Danio rerio: one gene and its partners. The protein of the gene in region 1 interacts with the protein of each later gene in a pairwise test. Links are inferred from orthologs where the notes say so. Each region holds a gene or a part of one and is shown in the gene's direction. Other genes may lie near its edges.

What was found.
Region 2: the proteins of pogzb (region 1) and qrich1 interact in binary tests that used the Homo sapiens proteins (3 or more experiments, as listed by UniProt). The two-hybrid records come from large-scale screens. The link is inferred for Danio rerio from reciprocal best matches to the Homo sapiens genes POGZ and QRICH1.
Region 3: the proteins of pogzb (region 1) and banp interact in binary tests that used the Homo sapiens proteins (3 or more experiments, as listed by UniProt). The two-hybrid records come from large-scale screens. The link is inferred for Danio rerio from reciprocal best matches to the Homo sapiens genes POGZ and BANP.

The regions. Positions count from the first base shown.
Region 1 is NC_133191.1:42,522,607-42,527,801, forward strand, and holds the start of pogzb (uncharacterized protein LOC561483), read left to right. Parts: upstream 1-1,701; 5' UTR 1,702-1,762; exon of another isoform or gene 1,763-2,075; intron 2,076-2,251; 5' UTR 2,252-2,317; intron 2,318-2,458; 5' UTR 2,459-2,462; coding exon 2,463-2,568; intron 2,569-2,734; coding exon 2,735-2,851; intron 2,852-3,963; coding exon 3,964-4,136; intron 4,137-4,234; coding exon 4,235-4,334; intron 4,335-4,416; coding exon 4,417-4,662; intron 4,663-5,195. Other genes in the region: si:dkey-23o4.6 (retinol dehydrogenase 12), read right to left, coding at 456-546. UniProt on the Homo sapiens protein: Plays a role in mitotic cell cycle progression and is involved in kinetochore assembly and mitotic sister chromatid cohesion.
Region 2 is NC_133186.1:20,149,276-20,154,451, reverse strand, and holds the start of qrich1 (glutamine-rich protein 1), read left to right. Parts: upstream 1-2,059; 5' UTR 2,060-2,129; exon of another isoform or gene 2,130-2,768; intron 2,769-4,290; 5' UTR 4,291-4,318; coding exon 4,319-4,567; intron 4,568-4,660; coding exon 4,661-4,741; intron 4,742-5,176. UniProt on the Homo sapiens protein: Transcriptional regulator that acts as a mediator of the integrated stress response (ISR) through transcriptional control of protein homeostasis under conditions of ER stress.
Region 3 is NC_133200.1:32,863,604-32,868,010, forward strand, and holds part of banp (protein BANP), read left to right. Parts: intron 1-422; coding exon 423-622; intron 623-2,646; coding exon 2,647-2,745; intron 2,746-3,155; coding exon 3,156-3,319; intron 3,320-4,407. UniProt on the Homo sapiens protein: Controls V(D)J recombination during T-cell development by repressing T-cell receptor (TCR) beta enhancer function. Binds to scaffold/matrix attachment region beta (S/MARbeta), an ATC-rich DNA sequence located upstream of the TCR beta enhancer.

The DNA.
Region 1 (5,195 bases):
TTGTTCACCTCTATGTGTGTGTGTGTGTGTGTGTATGTGTGTGTGTGTGCATGTGTGTGTGTGTGTGTGTGTGTGTGTGCGTGCGTGTGCGTATAAAAACATGGTTTTACAGCTATACTTGCATTAAAAATGTGTTACAAACTTACAGAAAAACATGATTAACTCCAATTTACTAAAATAAAGTATTATTAAATAATAATTATAATATTTATATTTGTATAAATGTAAAACTATAGTTGGTTTGCATAAAATGAACACTGATTTAAATATAAAATAATGAAATATTCATTAATTGTTGTAGTGCATGCATTTAATGCCATTAAAGATTTAATTAATTAATTAACATTTCAGGGCCTTAAATTGTGATGCAGTAGAAGTTTTGGGACCAGACCCATTTTTTATATTAAAATAAGATTATAATAAAACTTCTGAAAGTACTAAAAAACGTTACTCACTGATCACCAGCAGCGCGAGGACAGCGCCATAGTTCACTCCGTCAGATGATGTGCCCGGATCCTTCATCTCGCATGCAGAAGTAAACAACATGAAGAAAACACGCTCACGTTGTGTCCTCTCTGTGCACAATGCTATATATAGGGCTTGACTTAAGCAACTTAAACAGAAGCTTACCTGCTCTGCGCTTCGACTGGTTATGAAACGTTTATTATGAAACGTTTATCTCGGCACAATTAAGAAATGATTAGTTGTCAGATTGTAGCTTAAATTTAGTAGGATATTCAGGGCATATTCTACTTATATAAATGGTAAAACTTCTATTGTGCTGTGGATATTTTGAATTAAAGAATGCAGCTTTAATTTACATTCGATGTCTTTATGATAACTTTCAGACTTTCTGATTCATAATGTACAATTAACTAAAGCAATCGGTTTAAACCAGTCGTTACTTCGACTATATATATATATATATATATATATATATATATATATATATATATATATATATATATATATATATATATATATATATATATATATATATAGTCGAACAAACGATTGTGTGTGTATGGACTGAACTTTTGAATGTTTTTGATTCACTAAAAGAACCGAGTCATAAGAGTCGTTTGATTTTGAATCGGACCAGTGGTCCTGCCTGATTCGTGCTGTGTTCTCGGTTGTTCTGAAAAGTGCGGTGAACTCTGCAGTGTGCTGTTCTGTCCACATTGGCGGATGAACCCGCGTTCAGAGCCATAATGAAACCGGATGTCGTGATCGGTTCCAGAATTTTTTTAAACTGAACGTTTTCTAAAAAATTACACTTATTTCATTTATCAGTGCATTGTGCATACCAGGGCTAAAATATGAATATTTAAGCAAATAATTTTATATAATAGATATTTTGTGTGAGCAATTTTTCAAAATCATAAATTGATTTAAGAAAAGACAGTTTGTGATGGTTTTGACAGGTCCTCCTCAAAATACTAACAGTGTGTTGAATAATTAAATCATTTCTTTATTAAACCAGCAGTTGGCTAGACCGTATAAAATGTTGTCGTTTGTCGAGAAGGACGCCATTTTCTTGTTCCAGTAACCACTCCTCCTTATTTCAGAGATTACAGCCAATCAGCGTTGCGAATTCAAAACAGGAAGTGGCGTTTTGAGCGTATCAACCAATCGCAGCAGGAGAAAAAACAGAACCTCTGCCCATTTAGCGCATTTATTCGTCTCGTCTGTGACGTACCGGCAGGCTTTGTGTTCTTTCAATATATCACGTTGAATATATTTCTATATAGACTATAATCTGGTAAGTATTTTTTTTACAAATACGCGCTTTAATTCACGCGTTAGATGGCCGTCTTTCGTTATGTGCGCGGAGGACAGTATGCGGAGTGCGCACTCAGTAGGCGACGCGCGAGGGGTTGCTGCATTATTTGTGACTGAGTTTTTGTGATAGACACAGCGCTGAGTCCTGTTCCGACCCAGTTTGTATTTCAGCCCTATTTTCTGTTATTGTACACACATCCAAGGCTCATGCTTTTGCTTCTATCAGTCAGATCATCTGGTCTCAGCCAGTGCATATCGGTGACCAGGAACTACTTTTCTCTTCGCCCCTGTCGGTTAGATGAAATCACACTTTTTTGGGAGATTTTTAGGAAGTGATGCGGCAGCGCTCTGAATATCCGATGTTAACCCCATTAATGCAGGATTTTTTTTTGTTTGTTTTAAATGTATATAAATACAAAATGTACTACTATTCATGTTTTATTCATATACTTATTTGTATAATTTACAGGATGAAGGGATTTTGTAAACGCCAGTCTTGACGTTAAAACTGGTCGGACCCGATTCCTGTCAGAAGGTGAGGGTCTTCAGTTCAAAAATATTTTTCACTTGTCTAATTTAAAATGAAACATGTTTTTGATTTATGAATACATAATGCACCAATTGTCATTTGTACCCTCACAGTTTGTAGATTTTAAACACGTTTACTTTCTTTCAGAAACATGGATTCGGATTTGTTTATGGAGTGTGAGGAGGAGGAGCTGGAGCCATGGCAACAGCAGTCTATGGATGAACCAGCCGGAAATGCTGAAAGCAGTACTCCCTCCGGTGTGTATTTTTGTAATATTTTTAATTATAGAGAAATTTAACATAGTTTTTAATTATCTTCTTAACTTTTGTTAATTATAGATATTCCAGAAATATATATATTTTACTTTAATAATAATTTTAACATCATTATAACATCTGAAACTTGTCGTCCTCCAATGTTAAGTCACTTCCACTCCAGCCCCGGTGGTTGATGTTCCAGCTCCGCCTAAGACCATGGTGATCCCAAGCCTAACGTCTGTAGTAAATGCGGCGAACACGGTTCCGCTGATCACAAATACAAGTGAGTCTCCTTTTCTTTAATAATTATTTACTCATTCACATGATGCTCCAGAACACAAATTAAGTTAGGAAGAATCACCTGTTTGTTTAATTTAAGAGAAGCAAACTGGGGATAGAGTTCAGACACTTCAAAATAACAACAAAAAAGACTTGTTTTAAAGAAATGCAAATGACAAAAAAACACAATTCTTTTAATTATGAGTTAAATGAAGAATAAAATTGTTTTTTATGATTTGTGTGCTATATACTCACCTGCCACTTTATTAGGTACACCTTACTAGTACCGAGTTGGACTCCCTTTTGCCCTCAGAACTGCCTTAATCCTTCATGGCATAGATTCATCAAGGTACTGGAAATATTCCTCAGAGATTTTGGTCCATATTGACATGATAACATCACACAGTTGCTGCAGATTTGTCGGCTGCACATTCATGATGCGAATCTCCTGTTCCACCACATCCCAAAGGTGCTCTATTGGATTGAAATCTGGTGACTGTGGAGGCCATTTAAGTACAATGAACTCATTGTTCAAGGATTCAGTTTGAGATGATTCGCGCTTTATGACGTGGCACATTATCCTGCTGGAAGTAGCCACCAGAAGATGGTTGTGTGTGAAAATCCTGGTAGATCAGCAGTTTCTAAAATACTCAGACCAGCCCGTCTGGCACAAACAACCATGACACGTTCAAAGTCACTAAATTCACCTTTTTATTCCCCATTCTGATGCTCGGTTTGAAGTGTAGCAGATCGTCTTGACCATGTCTACATGCCTAAATGCAATGAGTTTCTGCCATGTGATTGGCTGATTAGAAATTTGTGTTATCGAGCAGTTGGACAGATGTACGTAATAAAGTGGCCAGCGAGTGTTTATTGCAATTGTTTTAAAATCATTAAAATCATCAAAATTCGAACTTTTGCAAACCGTTTTCTAATGTTTTCTCATATTTTCTCAAAATTTGTAGCGAATAGAAACTTTTCAGTACATTGTTGTTGTGTAAATATCCTTAGAAGGGGAGCGCAAAAGTCATATCAACTACTAAAGTAGTAGATGGATGCAGTCTTGTTGACATTCAGCCTGCATTACTCTTGGTGATCAGTCATTTATTTTTTCAGTAACTCAACGTGCGGTTGTGCCGACTGAGATCCCTAAAGCAGTGCAAGGGCAGCCGGTCATCTTGGCACCAGGAGGAGGTGGACTGGGCACTGTGGCTCTGTCACAGGTTCTCCTGCCTGGAACATCTATTGCCAATGTTACCAACAGTCAGCCGATCTACTTTACCACACAGGTGCTGCCATTTCACCATATAGATTCCAGCACATCACTCAACAAAAGCACATTGTCTCAACAAGTGTTCATCTATGTGCGTCCTTTCATCTGATACAGGGTCTTCCTGTCCAGAATATCCAGCCTGGCCAGGGTCCAATGAGTTTAGTGCTGAATGTCCAACAAGGCCAAACTGTTCGACCGATTACTCTACTCCAGGGTATGTCAGTGTGCTCTTGTTATGGTCTTACGCTATAGTTCTGTGCATTAATTAACAGTGTTTTCTTTATGTCTTTTTTAAGCACCTGGCACACAAATTTTCAAACCAGCCATCGGAGCAACCCAAATAATTACCCAGCCTGCTCAAATAAGGGCTGGAGCTCCGGTTGTAAACAGAGCCCAAACGCCTAGTACTTTCAGCACAGTGCAGATCCCTGCTACTCTCACTTTTCGAACCACAAACGCGGTCACCCCAACAGCTGCCAGTTCTCTACCCATCGTATCTTCTACAACCATTACTCAGCCTACCAGGACCACTACTAAAATAGGTAAGAATAAGAATTTAATTGAACTTTTTAAAGTTAGATTTTTAATGCCTGATTCAAACTATATTGTTTTCTATCTATGTAATAATTCCTGTTATTAATTAGTTATTTATTTTTATTTTCATTCAGAAGACAGAACTAGTGACTGGCTTCAAAAAACAAGAGCCAGAGAAGGCTAATAAAACAACATGTTAACTATTTTAACTAGTCAGTTTAACTAGTTTATTATTCTTGTCAGAAAAAAACTTTTCAAAGAATTTAATCAAACTCAATTGAAATCGAATTGTCTCTTTCATTTTGTCATGTTTATGGAAGCTGTGTGTGAAAGAGCTTCTTTGTTTCTATTGGTCAGCATCACAGATGTGACAGAAACGGTTATGAAGGATCTTAAAAAAAAACTTATCAGTCTTTTTGTCACTATGTTGTAAAGCATCTCAGATGTTGTCCAAAAGGTTGCACATGATGAAATTCGGCGAAATTCAGATTGAGGGCAGGAAGTGGTTCTTCTACATAGGAATCGCTATCAAAACATCACA
Region 2 (5,176 bases), on another chromosome or scaffold:
TATTGAGTTACTATCAAAAGCAGATGTGAATCAGATGTGTTCAAATGAGGTAACTGGGCTCCTATTATATATTGAGTGAATTCATTATTAAATGGCTTCTGAATACTATATGTTTATCCAAATGATAGGACAGGGTCATTGTGGGGTTAAGACAGAGACCGTGAGAATTAACTCTTTCTGAACTCATAACAGTGATGTGATAAAGCACGATTCCGCACATCTCCGCCGGTCCACCTTAAGCGCTCAGTCAGGCAGGCTTTTGCAGGGCGATCAGGGGGAGGCCCTCACTGGCACATGCCTAGCGCTTTAAGGCGGACTGGAGCGGATAGAGCCCCGCTTAAAGGCACAAGCACGCTAAAATCACATACACTTTATACGTGTAAATGTCTCTTTATTGCGTTCAGTATGACAGTGTGAGATTTATAATGCTCAGAGTGATTTAGAAAGGAATTTGCTGTCTGTCTTTTATTTGAATAGTCTAATTGTGATTAATAATATAGCAAAGTATTTTACAGAGAACTATCCAGCAGGTGGTGCAGAGAGTAAGCAATGAAAAACAAACATGCATATGTTACTTATAATTTACCCCTGAGGGAAAACAACAAAGTTTTAGATTGGATTTGGGCACAGTGATGTATTGGCTACACTGGCAATATGTGAATAGACAGACTGGTTGAAGTGTTTTATGTTAGAGTGAAGCCGTTTAACATAAAGTGTCACACTCATCGAGCGCGCGCACCCGTGCCAAGCTGCTCACGAGCTCCGCCGGTGTTGCCATTTCAGCAGATTTTAAGCAATGTGGATGTTTTCAGGGGCTTATTGTTATTGTCAGTCGCTGCTTGTTCATACTTTTTTATTTACATAAATCTCATATATGTAGATCCCAACCGCTCGCCCTTCTTTTGTAAAAAACTATTTTTTTTTACACAGACCCCCAACACTCTTTTGCGGGTCCCTGAAATCTATGTATGTCTTTATAATGGAATTTAGCTATCTGACACACACTATTTGTGTGTGTTTGCGTGTGTCTGTGGGATATTTTGGTTTAAAGACATTTGGTAATGTATATGGCTATTTATTGTTCATTTATCTTTATTATGGTACGTTTTACATTGTTTATGTTCTTATATTTGAAATATTTATTGGTGTTGTTGTTATTATTATTATTATTATTATTGTTATTATTATTATTATTATTATTATGCTATTAATATAATTATCATTATTAACATCATATTGTTAAAAAAGCTAATGAATTCAATCTAACACTTATTAATTTAGAATTTCAGTAAATACTTGTATTAAGTGTTGCATTTTCATTTACATGGAATGTTTTTGCTTCATTTTCATTGTCGGCATGTGTTGATTATTATTATGCTCTTATTAATAAAAATATTATTATTGAATTAGTTATCTACCAACACAGACAACAACAAAATTAATACCATAATAACAATAAACCAAGATACCAACCAACACAGTACTTGATAAACTAACTTAATTAGCTTCTCGCTTTTACACAGTGATCATTATATATATGGTTGTTTTTATTTTATTATTTGATGTATTTTTAAAAGCTATAAAAATATTAATCACACTTTATATAATGAACAAATAAATATATTTGTATTTATTTATTGGAATAGTTTATAATTCCAATACATAATGTTATTAAATACTGCATTTCCAGCTTGTGTAACAATGGTTTTATTATAATAATTAGATTACTATGCTTTTATCATCCATGATAATAGATTCATCAATTTCTCGGTTGAGTATTGAATAGCATGTTTTGATGTACCCTGTAAATTTCTTATTCCTCTCCTACATTTTTTATTTTACCTCTTAAAAATAAAATGCATTCCAAATTATATGTTGGTGTGTTCTTGTTGTGATCTGGCAACCGCGCTCTGCGTTCATGCCATTGTGAGTGTGCTTGCGGCAGCAGTGGAGCCGGAAGGGGGAGCTGCGATTCCGTCCCCGCCTTCACGCTACAGGACAGCCCGGGGTCTAGCGCTGTCACAGCAGGCCTACTTCCGTCAGCTCTATCGCAAACATTATTATTAAAAAAAACACAATTACGGCCATCCAAGCCTTCCAAGCAGCGCATTTGTGTGTTTTCCACTACGGTAGGACATGTTTGCGCCCGGCCGCATCGGGCTTTCAATGCTTTCATTTATGTGTGTAGCAGAATAAGCACACGTCACGACATAAATCGCTCTTAAATGTTGACAAATGCATTGCGCTGCAAAAATACCGAGATAGAGCAAAGCAACCGGACTTGCCGTGTGCACGGCCAGCTTTAGCTGAGCTTTAGTGGGTTTTTGTTTTTTGAACGGCGTGTTTTGGCGGAAATTGCTTTGGCTTTTATTTAAGGTAGCATGGGAAGATTAGCACGCGAGCTCACGTTAGCCCCACATCTGCGCGCGCGATGCCACATCTACCGCGGGAATAATGCTTAATGCCACACAACAGCATATCAAAAATGTATTTAATATCCCAATGCGATTACTTGCGCCCGCTTCTGTGCGTTTTGGAGTTTCACTTGACAAAGGTTAGCGCGTTAGCATTAATGCTAGCTTATTTTCGGGGCAAAGCATTGAGTGGTCCAGTAACGTTGCTTGATTTACCGTAAGCAAAGCGAGTTTACAAACACACAAATACCGTTTATGTTATGTGATCGTTCATATTAAGGTTTGGTTTGTGATTCGAGAGGAGCCTCAATACAGCTCTTTTATTTTGCTTCAAGGGGTCCAAAGTCCAGCAAGGTTAGAGGCTCTTTCAGTCTGAATGCTTCATATACAGAGCTCTTCATCACTAAAATATCACATGAAACACCTTTAATCTTTAGTTTAAGCAATTATCTGTACATTTTAAAAGAATGCTTGCATAATTCACATGTTTGTAGGATTGGCTATTCAAAATTCAACCAGATCTGCATTGTGTGCAGAGATTCTATTGAATGATTGATGTAACAATGTGAAGCGAGCTGCTATGGGCGATTGGGTTTACAGTCTTCAGAGTTAACTGTATGCTATAGGTTTTTCCTAATATTTCAAGCCTGAAACATGGAATATTTTATATTTACCTAATGTATTTTTATTTGCAAATAAATACAATTATTTTCATTTTTAATGTTATTAGTTAGCTTTAAAATAAAACACAAATGAACATTGCAAATCTATGCATGTGAAATCAGAGCTGTTTTATATGTAAACGGATACATGCATGCATCAATGTATTGCAAATTATGCATATAAGCATATTTGTATATTACAATAAAACAAGTTTATTTTGTGCAGTCTCCAAGGGTTTATGTTTCAAGAACGTAAAAAAACGAAAACCGATTTCCTTTGTTTTTAACATATTTTGCCTGGAGAATACAGCGTCATTATAACTCTGCCTATTTACATTTACAAAAATGACTAATGACTAGGGATGTAACAATTCATACCATTCACAATACTAATCTCATGATTTACGATATAGTCACAATTTAAAAAAAAATTAAACAAATTGAAGGTGAAGTGCCCTTTCGTTTTTTTCTTAAATGCTGCACATTTTTTGTAAAATAATAAATTTTCTGCCATAACTAAATTGCTAAAAACAAATGAAAAAAATAAAGAATAATACAAACTAAAGAAGTAAAAAAAAAACATCTTCTCATTTTCGCTATAAAACACTGATGCACAGTGATCGCCATAGCATTCAAAGCTGCAAAGCATAATTTTTTCATATAGACATCTGTGACAGTCGTTCTATTAGTACACGTCTTTTTGCAATATTTGCTCACACTTTGTGTTTCGTCCCACCGATTGCTCGGCGCTGATGTGCAGGTAAAGTAAGTTTGCACCTGTAAAGAGCGCCCCCACTGTTCAAAAAATGTAACCATTCATTCAACATGTCTACCGATTTGAATCGTCACATATTTGAATTGATTTTCAACCGACTCACGGTGAATCGTTACATCCCTACTACAAACACTGTAATGCAGGCCAGGCTAGTAATTGGCAATGTCACCTCGTATAGAAACACTACAGCCCTGCACACAGCCATTAGTTAAATTTGTCATCTTTGTTTTGGTTAGACAAGTACTAACAAATCCAAAGACTGAACACATAACATGCATGTGTGTTTTATAATAGTTTGTTCATTTTTAGAGTTTACACAAAGACAATAATGGTATCTTTGGTAACTCCCAAATGCTGCTGTTGTGTAAATAAATGACCAGAATGCACAATATAAACATGTCTTGTAAATGTAAACGTATACCCTTTGCTTGTGTTCTAGGCTCCTGTACAGGGTGGACTGACCTGTCATGAATGAGCCCATTGAAGGCGGTGCGATCTCGTTCGACGAGTATGTGCGGCAGAAGGCGCGCACTATACCTCAGCACCGCATGAAAGAGTTCCTGGAGTCGCTGGCCTCCAAAGGCCCAGAGGTGTTGCAGGAGTTCAGCCAGCAGACCAGCGGCACCACAACCACAATGGTGTACCAACAGGGTGCCAACTGCATCTACACGGACAGCACAGAGGTGGCGGGCTCATTGCTGGAGCTGGCATGTCCGGTAGGGACACTTCTATGGGCATTTTAGCTCTGAGATAAGATGTGAAAAGCATTAGATTGTTAAAAGTATTATTTCTGCTTTATCTTTGTGCAGGTTCAGGTGACATCGACACAGATCTCACCCCAGCTGGCTGCAGCTGTGCATCAGGCATCTGAACAGCAGATCCAAGTACAGGTTTGATAGCTTTTCCAGTATTTACCAGGGAAGCTGTTTTTGTTGGAATACCTAAAATTCAATCATCAAAAAAATGCTTTCTCAAAGAACGTTTTGATAGTTATTAGGGCTTTTACACCTTTGTTAAGCCTCAGGTAACTCTAGGCTATCGTTAACAGATGATTCAAACTGTACACTCCTAAATCCTGGGTTAATGTTCTAACTTGCATATTTGCAGTGTCACTCTTTCTGATTGGATAAACTGCATGAACGGCAACCTTTTTTCCACAATATCTTATCAGTTATATAAAAAAAGTTGCTATATAGGTCCATACCCATTTTAAAGTCCCAAGAAACCCCTTTGTTTCAGCAGGGTGTTTTCACACCTCTACTTTGGAAAAGTCAGGATAGTGGGCGTGTCCAGCTCTGTTTAGGGGGGAGTGTCGGAGAAGCAAA
Region 3 (4,407 bases), on another chromosome or scaffold:
TTCGTTTTCTTTTTCATGTTTTTATAACCTATTTTAACTCATTTTAATTTGTTTTTATCTGTTTTTAATATTTTTTATTGTCTGCATTTTATGTTCTAAACTTGTCGTTTTTTATTCCTGTTTATGTAAAGTACTTTGAATTGCCACTGTGTATGAAATGTGCTATATAAATAAACTTGCCTTGCCTAAAACGTGTTAAATACTTTATATAAAAGGCTTTTTTTAATGATGGCAGCTTAAAGACGCCTCTTGTATGGAGAATGAAGTCACATGAATTGCTCAGGTGTAAGTTTTTCACACACTTCAACAGTGTGCAAAAATCTTGATGGTTATGTGGGTCTCATCTATCAATAAATGACATTTTCATCTGGTATTAAATATAATTAGATATTTTACCAATTTCTGTATTTCTGTTTCTCCAGTCGATGTTGATATCCATCAGTCAGGCGATCTGCCAGCGGCTGGACAGTATGGAAGCAAAGCTGCAGGTTCTTGAGGTGACCTGTCGAGGTTTAGTGGAGAAACTGGACACAGTGATGGGCAAGAACCAGTCAACGATTCAAGTACCCATGGTGTCCGGGTCCCCATTCGGAGCCACTCAGACTTGTGACAAAGTACGCTGGTAAGTGGACCATAGGTCATGTGATTTATACACCAGCACCATTCATTAAATGGTTGGTTCTGTTTATTTTTTTCTTTATTTCTGCCCGTTTTTACGGCGTACAACATATGTTATAAATGACAACAGGGTCCCCGCGGGGTCTTAAAAGTCTTAAATTAAAAAATCGATATGTATGGCTTTAAAAAGTCTTAAATTCGCTGTTCTAGGTATTAAATATTTTTGCACAGGTCTTATTTTTGCGATGTCCATGTAACGCTACATCTAATGCTTATTTAAATTCTTTTTGTTGTTGTTGCTAGGTTTTTGGGGTTTTGTAGTTCTTTATTTTACTAGTCCAATTGTAATTTGCTTTATTACAACCACAAAAAAAGTCAACTTGCGATAGCCAATCAGCTTTCTGATATTAAACTCAGTGCGCGCGGCGGATGTGACATCATCGCTGTGTTTGCGGAAGTTCGCTTTGAGTGCGTGCGACATGATTTTGGCTGGCAGAGTATGCCGTTATTTCACTGACAAATGTCGCAAGCGCAGTTTTATAAGTCAGGAGTGCTGTAATACGAGAGAGCGAATCTCTGCTCACGCGCAGGTTTCCTTTGTTCATGGACAAAACTGCTTGCGAGCTCTCAAAACACTGGCTGCTCACATGCAAATTATCTGCTCTCGCTCCGCCGGACTCCTTTCGTGCTTTTCCAGAGATGCTTCAGCATACTGTAGTATTAAGAATAGTGAACTGATAAAATGAAATACAGTGTAGTTTTACTACTGTAAAGTGTGGTGAATTTTAGAAAAATATACCTTATATTGTAAAAAAAAATAAATAAAGCACTGGGTAGTTTGTTTTTAATACACTTGTTGTGTTACCATAGCAACTATAGTATTACCACAACAGAGTAATTGAAGTACTTTACTGTACTTCACAAAACACTGTACAGCAGACACTAGTTCACTTTATTTTAGTGATAAAATAGGATTTATAGTGGGATTTATTTAAAGAGTGAATAGTACAGTAAGCTATAATACCTAATCAAGTTTTTACCTATTTTCTATCACAGTTACATTTCTGCTTGCCAGAATGACCAATAATTATTGGCTAGAAATTGCAACAGCCATGGGAAAGGAGGAAAGTTTTTGTAAAACTTTGGAAAAACTCCGAGGGATAAGTTTGTTAAAACAAAAAAGAGGCCCCCAAAAACATCTTCAATGATAATGATTATCTTTTTATTCGTCTGATTTTACTTTCTGTTCTTTTGGACCGCCCCCTGTCATTTAAAAAAACATATCTCAATGGTGAACGTGTCAAGTACAAAAGCCTTAATCCGTTTCGTGAGTTGTGCGATGCGGTGCCAGGTGAAAGTATAAATCTGCATTAAGATGTGTTTTTTCTGTAGTTCAATGGTGCATTTAACCTGACCTTACTACTGTTCAATTTAAATAACTTTATTTTAGCCCTAATTTTGTGCTTTTACATTTTCTCTCGCGTGTTCTGATATTGTGATATAGGTGTTAAATTTAATACTTAATGGTCTTAAAAAGGTCTTAAAAGGTCTTAAATTTGACATTATGATATCTGCAGAGACCCTGATCATAATACAAGTCCCAGTTTGTTTTCATTGCATATTAAGCATTTGTTCATTTTTGTATTATTATTAGTATTAGTATTAAAACAGGCTTTTTTTAAAAAAGGTTGCAACACTTTTAAAATGTTTTTGCCCATTCATTCATTAATTCATTCATTTTCTTTTTGGCTTAGTCCCTTTATTATTCAGGGGTCGCCACAGTGGAATGAACCACCAACTTATCCAGAATATGTTTTACACAGCAGTTGCCCTTCCAGCCGCAACATATCACTGGGAAACACTCATATACTCTCGCATTCACACACATACACTACGGCCAATTTAGCTTATTTGATTCACCTATACCGCATGTCTTTGGACTATGGAGAAACCCACGAGAACATGCAAACTCCACAAAGACATGCCAACTATTTATTTTGACACTAACAGTGAGTTTTTTTTTCCTAGTGTTGTTCCCCAGACAAATGTCATAGTAAGTGGAGACAGGGCGAAGACGGAGGAGACTTCGCCACGCACATCAGACTCTTTAGAAAATCTGCTCAGCAAGTGAGTACTACACATTCATATTTTGGCAACTCTTTACAACAAGGTTCCATTGGTTCATTTTAGTTAATGTTTTTACGAGAATGAACAAAAAAAATAAACAAAATTTTTTATTAGGAAATGTATTATTGTTTGCAAATGTTGGTTAATAAAAAGTAGTGTAAAATAATACACATTCTTCACATAAAATTGTCAGTGTAAGGGTGCTAAAGTTTGTTTTACAGTTGGCGGTTCACTTCAGTTATTTGGTACGAATGCATTCAAATCAGAAGTGAACCATACCAGAGTTTGCACGAACCGTACCAACGACAACCTCTAAACGTACCGTACTCTGAAGTCAAACGAATTCGAGTGAGGACCAAAAGTGCTAATCTGAAAGCGCTGTAAGTCTTCTTTGTATTTTTGTGTTGCAGTACTGTAGGGCGAGGGAGACAGAAAACCATAGTACTGAAGGTTCCAGTTCAGGAGGAGATTCAGGATGATCAGGAAAGTGGTTCGGAAACGAGCGATTCGGTGTCCAACAGCGGCCAGCCTCAGAATAACAACAATGTAACGCTCATCACTCTTAACTCAGAGGGTAAGATTTACAAATATTGGATGTTTAAGACTTAAAATGACCTTTGTGATAACTAAGTGCATTTGAGCTAGAACAATTCCTATTGAAATGTTGGTTCCGCTTTATATCGTATGGCCTTAATTACTTTGTACTTACATTTCAGTTAATCATTTTGGGTCAGTGTAATTATTATCTACATGGATGTTTTTACAGTGTAGTTATATTTTAAAAATGATGATCATTTCTGTAAATATATTTATACTTATACTGTTGATCATCTCTTACACCTAAGCCCACCCTTAAACCCACTAAGACCACCAAACCTTTCCATAACCTTTCTCATATCCCTCCTCAATAACACCATGGGCTCTATTTTAATGATCTAGGCGCAAAGTCTAAAGGTCATGGTGCAAAAACATCAAGGGCATGTCTAAGTCCACTTTTGCTATTTTAAGGATGGAAAAATATGCTTTGTGCCCCTGGTCTAACAGGGTTGTGCTTAGTCTCTCTATTTTTAGTGACAAAAATTAGTAATTGTGTGGTGGTAATTCATAGAAATTTGCGGACAATTTTGCGATAAATATATATATATATATATATAAATAAATATACATACTATACCAAATACACACCATATTAGGTAGCCTACTATGTTGGGTGCGCAATCTGACACAATGACACAAATCATAAAAATAAAGCTTCTTTCAGTCAAGATCTAAAACAGACCTAAAACAGTGGAAATTAAGCCAAAGGAAGGTTTTATAACTCTTATTTTTATTCACAATCTTAATTTCTCTTAGATTTCACTCCCTGGAGCTTCTGAGATCAGCTTCCTCACTCACGATTTCCCCTACCGTAATACACCTAAAATACAATAAATATAATAATAAAATATAATGTCTTGCCAAATTTCCTTTGAGGGAATCAACTCAAGTTCATTTTTTAATTGTTTCGACTTTGTACTGAAGTTAGATTTTGTGAGGAGATAAAAGAGTAAATCACACCTATAATACCTTTGAGAACTGGGTTGGTTTTTAAAATGGTGTCAAGTAATGTTTCTCTAGGTAAAGTTGGAAAGTCTACTGTATTAGAAATCATAAAACTGCGGA